2 linked regions of the Kluyveromyces lactis genome follow. The protein of the gene in region 1 interacts with the protein of each later gene in a biochemical or structural test. Links are inferred from orthologs where the notes say so. Each region holds a gene or a part of one and is shown on either strand. Other genes may lie near its edges.

The links.
Region 2: the proteins of RAD18 (region 1) and UBC9 form a complex in vitro, tested with the Saccharomyces cerevisiae proteins (2 studies listed by BioGRID, with this or other methods). The link is inferred for Kluyveromyces lactis from reciprocal best matches to the Saccharomyces cerevisiae genes RAD18 and UBC9.

Annotation. Positions count from the first base shown.
Region 1 is NC_006039.1:765,151-768,614, reverse strand, and holds RAD18 (E3 ubiquitin-protein ligase RAD18), read left to right. Parts: upstream 1-1,484; coding exon 1,485-2,768; downstream 2,769-3,464. Other genes in the region: HCM1 (Hcm1p), read left to right, coding at 1-973; GTPase-activating protein SED4, read right to left, coding at 3,114-3,464. UniProt on the Saccharomyces cerevisiae protein: E3 RING-finger protein, member of the UBC2/RAD6 epistasis group. Associates to the E2 ubiquitin conjugating enzyme UBC2/RAD6 to form the UBC2-RAD18 ubiquitin ligase complex involved in postreplicative repair (PRR) of damaged DNA.
Region 2 is NC_006041.1:441,981-444,608, forward strand, and holds UBC9 (E2 SUMO-conjugating protein UBC9), read left to right. Parts: upstream 1-1,465; coding exon 1,466-1,939; downstream 1,940-2,628. Other genes in the region: PEX19 (Pex19p), read right to left, coding at 219-1,121; SYO1 (Syo1p), read right to left, coding at 2,282-2,628. UniProt on the Saccharomyces cerevisiae protein: E2 ubiquitin-like--protein ligase mediating SUMO/Smt3 attachment to septins and PCNA. Seems to be involved in degradation of S- (CLB5) and M-phase cyclins (CLB2).

The sequences.
Region 1 (3,464 bases):
TGATGGTTATGAAGCTGGCAGTACCACGTCCAGTTTTAATGGATCATCAATTGCCTCGTACAATAAGTCGAAAAGGAAAAATAAGTCATTTTCAATTTCTACCATGGATGACAAATCGAGTGATATTGGTGACGCGGGTGATACTTCCTTGGATCAAAGCAGTGACGGTGACGAAGAATCAACTTCAATAACCAATATACCTTCATCGCCACGATTAGGTGATCACGCCGAAGCTGCTGGTCATGGAAGCCATCAGTTTCCGGCTACGGATAAAGACTTCCTGTATTACGAAGATGAAAATATGGTCAAAAGACAAGACTCTAGTCATCTGGTGGGCCCGTTGAAATTTAACCATCGCTCTGTCAGTGCACATAACCATGAATATGATGATTTAATGGTTGCTGCCGTCTCTTCTCCTAAATTCAAAAAATATTCGTGTTCTTTCAACACATCATTTGAACCCGTATCTCCGATGAACAAGCTGCAGCTGCCATCAGTTAACCAGCAAAATTCAAAGACACCTATTAGGGAAAGCTCTGTCACTCCTCTGAAATTCAATATTTTTTCAACACCTAAAGATTTCAATAAAGATGGTCTGAACCCACCGGCGTCTACCAGAACTTGGCAAAGCCCGTCTCGTCTATTTGAAGATTATTATGCGTCATCACCAGTGTTTTTCAGAAACGTAATCAATCAATCTATAGATGATTGTATGATACAGTATGACACAGAAAAGAAATGTATTGATTCTCCCCGAAAGTTGAGTCTCAGAGATCAAACTTCTCCCAAGGAATCCAGTCAATCAGGATTAATTGATCACTCCAAATATTCATCAAACATTCTTTTTGGTGTTGATGTTTGTTCAGTGTGGAAAAGGGCGATTGCTCATTGTAACAGCAATGATGAAGTAGATAGCTATCGAGAAGAGGTAACAAAAAACGATTTGGACCCTCCTTTTGATGGGATGAACTAATGTTTGCTTTCTTTTTCATATAGAGTCTGTCGTTATCTCGATGACCATATTTTTTGTTTTTCTTCACAATCTGCCTGACGCTTGGGTTTCTTTATATGGCTGAGTTATTTGTCTCCTTTATTTCTTTCAATTTATTTCATTCCTGCGTTCAATTATTGTAGTGTACGCGCCTTTCTTTTATTCATTGGTGTCCTTTTTAAAGTATTTTTATTTGCAATAGTTATTGCTAATGTATGTATCATTATATCAATCATATTTAATTCTTACATTTCCTTCTAACCGATATTTACAATCAAAGGATATTATCCTGATAGACCATATGGCTTTGTTATTTGATCTGACTTCGTTTCATCGTTGTTTAATTAGCTCTGAATAGTGCTTCAATATTATGCCATACTTTGTAAATTACTAAAATACGATAAAAAGAAGCTAAAAGCAGATAATCCGAGTTACCTTCTGAAAAGTATCAAACATTAAATGCTGGAGTGCAGAGGAATCAACCAGAACTGTCATGAAGCTAAGTGTACCTGAAACTATATCGAATCCTCGTGATTTTCTTCACACGAGTGTTCCGCAACTTACTGACCTCGATTCACTTCTTCGATGTCATATCTGCAAAGATTTTTTAAAGGCATCGGTCTTGACGCCATGCGGTCATAGTTTCTGTTCCATTTGCATAAGAAAGTACCTTCAGAAAGAGAGCAAATGCCCATTATGTCTCAGTGACCTCACTGAGTCTATGCTACAAAAAGAGTTTCTAGTACAAGAGATTTGTTCAAGTTACGTGAAACTGCGAGGTTCTTTGCAGAAACACTTGACAATATCATCTCAGGAAGAGGAAAAAGATAATGAAATAATAATATCTGACGAGGCAGATACATCTGTAGGTACAAAGAGGGGTACTCCAGATAGCCCATCTTTATCTTCAGTAAGTACTAAAAAGAGAAAACATGATGGTATAACAACGTTGTTAATGAAAAAGAAAACGGATCATCCACAGCGGCAAGAGAAGAAGGCACAATGTCCTATATGCTCCAAGCACCTGCCGCTTTCAGAATTAGAAGGTTCGCATATTGATGAGTGTTTGAACAAAGGTAGTAGTTTGGAGAGATCGGATTCTTTTGAGATTTTGGATGAACGTACACCCTCCCCTTCGATGGAATCTTCGCATCAACCACTAGAAGAGAAGACTAGCCTGCCGTCTTCACATTTGCTAGAGGTAAAAGAAAAGAAGGATATCACGTACCATAACGAGAGGTACTTAAATTCTGGGCTGCTGCAGCAAAAGGAAAATAGATTACCAAGATTGGATTTTCAGTCTTTATCTATGACACAATTGAAACAGAAGCTTGCTTCTTTGGCTCTACCATCAAATGGCACCAAACAGCAAATGGTAGCGCGATACAAGCATTACGAAATGTTATGGAATAGTAATTTTTTAGATTCAATTGATCCTGTTGACGAAAATGAACTTAAACGTCGTCTATCCAGTTGGGAAGCTAAGCACAATACAGACCATTCTTCTGATAGCAATAGCATAACTAACCTTCTCAGGGGTAATAAACGTACTAATGCTATAAGTGCCATGATCAAACTTTTTAAAAGCGATAGATTTGATAGAAAAGGTTGGATGAGACATCACACGTCAACGTTTAAAGCATTAAAATTGGAAGCACAACGTTCCGATAAACTTGCAAAGATGAAGAAGGAAGAGCTCTCCCAGAAGAGTGATGCGAACTCAGAAGTAAGTTCGGAACCTATACTAAAGATTGATCAAACGTCAGAGAATAATTAATAGAATCTAATATTCTCAACTTTTCATTATTTATCGTATATCAGTATATAGTATCTATAATTCATCTTGAATGATGTCAGGAGATTCATTAAGGATATCTTCTCTTCCCTCTAAATTGCGACCTCCAGATTGCGATGGGGCTGATTGTACTCTTGTTTCCTCGACATTGCTATCACTTTGGGCACCCATAATATTTTCTTCGATTTCAGCGTTGGTAGGGTTTAATTCAGTGTCCAATATGTCCGAAGAGATTACAGGTGACTCAAAAGCTTCTATTGATTCAATATTACCGACAGCCTTAAGCTCGTTTAAGTCTGCAGCTGCAATTGAATCATCCATCGCCGATTATGAACTTCCCGATGTTGTTAATTCTTCGGAAACAGTAACTATGAATTCGCTTTCCTGATCCGCTGTTTTGGTAATGGAGGAAGAAATAGTAGTGCTGGATGAGAAGCTCGATTTAGCTTCTGTATCCTTTTCGGCAGATGAAATGTCTGATTCTTCGAGTTCTGTTTTATCAGTGGCTACAGACAGTTCAATTTCTGTCACAACGACTGTAGATGTGACAAGTTCTACGTCAAGGTTAGACTTTATTTGATCGATATGCGTAGCGGTATCTTCTTCCGCTTGTAATGAGGTACCTGGATAATGATCTTCTGATTGGACTTCATGAGCGACGTAGATATGATCTTCACT
Region 2 (2,628 bases), on another chromosome or scaffold:
TGGCAAAAAGTTGTCACATATATTCAATCTTGCATAGTATATTGGTTATTATTGGTTTAGAGCTAGTCTCGTGATTTCAGTCCTCAATATGAATTTCAAAGTCGAAAAGAGAAAAATAGCCATATTATTCGAATATCATACTAATAGGCAAAGAGTGAAAGAAATAGAATAATAGTTTATTATGATTAAATATTATATTATGAGCTCATATACACATTTTATTGCTGTTTGCAGGTATCTTCAAGGTCTTTGTCGATGTTACCTAGATTTTCATCTCCTTGTATTTCCAGCATCTTGGCTAATTCTGACATATCGTTTCCAGGATCGTTACTAGTTCCCTTTGCAACCGGTGAGTCACCGAGTTGCTCTAGTTCATCCAATAGATCTGCGATCTCAGCATGGTACTTTTCATTCGTATAATCATCGCTTTCGAATACACCGATGATCTGATTCACAAGTGCATACTGTTTCTTGTAGTTATCAATCTTGTCGCTGTGTTCGGGGTCTTCTTCGTGTAATCCCATCCACTCGGTGAATTCTCCCTGCATTTGTTTCATCGGCTGATATAGCACTTCTTTAGAAGACATTTGTGAAAGCATTTTCAAAATGGCATTGTCCATTCCTTCTCCGTCCGTACCGTTGCCATCGCCGTTTTCCACTAGTTGATCTAGCAATTGGGAAAGAATATCGTCTGAGTTCTGATTTTTCTTCTCTTCCTCCAAACTTTCATCCACTTTCGTAGAATTTTCTTTCAATCTATCTAGGGTGTTGGAAATGATATTCTTGAAACCAGTACCGCTCTTCAATTGCTCCTGAACGTGTTTTACACTGTTATGGTCTTTCTCCTTCGATGCATCTCCAAGTACAGTTAGCAATGTCTCGAAATTCTGAACCATTTCTTGGTCAGTATCACCGCCTTCCTGCTGCATCAATTGTTGGAACTGTTTCTGCAAATCTTCCATCATCTCGACTACTTCTGGATCATCGCTCTGCGTAGCAGGCTCACCCTTAGTAACTGCCTCATTTGGAACAGTTTCTTGTTTTTCCTGTTCATCCAGTTTGCGTGGATCCTCTAAATAGTCATCCAAATCATCAAATTCGTCAACTTTGTTGTCTGACATCGTTTGTCGAAGTATCTGATTACTATCCGTTGAAATTTTGGTGGTGCGTAGCCCTTACTATTAATTATACCTCAGTTAAGGTTTCTTTAGTCACTGTCAATTCTGAAAAATATCACTTTTTCTTCAAAACACTATTGATGCTTTTTCTACAATATCAAAATCATCTTCAAAATCACAAACAAAAAGACGTATCGCACGGAATATCATATCCTCCAATTATTCAACAACGGTAAATCTGAGTTAAGGCTCTATTTACAACAGGGCGCAACGTACCTTAATATATTTACGGTATCTGTATATTAAAGCGACTCGACGATCAGAACGGCCGAATAATATAAACAGTCATGAGTAGTCTTTGTCTACAGAGGTTACAAGAGGAGAGAAAGAAGTGGAGAAAAGATCATCCTTATGGGTTCTTTGCCAAACCAACTAAAAAGACAGATGGATCTATGAACTTGCAGAAATGGGAGGCTGGTATCCCTGGAAGAGACGGCACTCTCTGGAAAAATGGTCTTTATCCTTTGACCATTGAATATCCTGATGACTATCCGTCAAAACCTCCTAAAGTGAAATTTCCAGCAGGATTTTATCACCCTAATGTTTATCCCAGTGGAACCATTTGCTTATCAATCTTGAACGAAGATCAGGACTGGAGACCTGCTATCACCTTGAAACAACTCTTACTTGGTGTACAGGATCTTTTGGATTCTCCGAACCCTAACTCACCTGCGCAAGAGCCAGCTTGGAGAGCTTTCTCGAAAAACATTAAGGAATATGAGAGGAAAGTCTCAGAACAAGCTCTTAGGTATACCAAGTGATACCTCCATAATACAACTTCGGAAGTAAACCATTTACTGACAGAGAAAATGCAAATACGCAGATGACGGCAGATATCAACTTGCGGGAAACCCTGGGCCTTCCCCAGCGTAAAGCGCAAATCAAATAAATTTGCTGTATTCTATGGCTCGATTTATTCTACGGTGTTGACCATTGTTATATGGCTGTATAGAGATATATCATAGGATGGAACGATCCAGTAGGTGTATAGTTCTCGTGTAAAATTTAAAATTAATATCAAGAATAATGCTAATGAATACTTGATTTATTCAATTATTTTGTATTTTACTATTATCAGGTGTAGACTGTATATATTTATTGTTTTATTTGTTACGTTCATTTTGTTTGTATGCAATAAAACTATCCAATGTAGAAAAGCAATCCTGACATCTTTCTTTCAGTTGAGGATCTTTGTTCTTGTCAACAAACTTGAAAACATTCTTCAAATTTAATGAAACCTGTGTTTGAAGTATCGAAAGATAGTTCAAGTTTACAAATACTGGTTCATCGTAATCAAAGTTCATGTCTGAGTATATTTCAAAGAATGTGTTCATAAAATCTACTACTACTGGTGCTTTTGTTTCCTTGCTTGAAAGTGTATTGATAAAAAAGTCACCTATGGCTTTGTTTAGTTCAATTTGGTTTTGGAAACCAGCTAGAGTACCTAGTA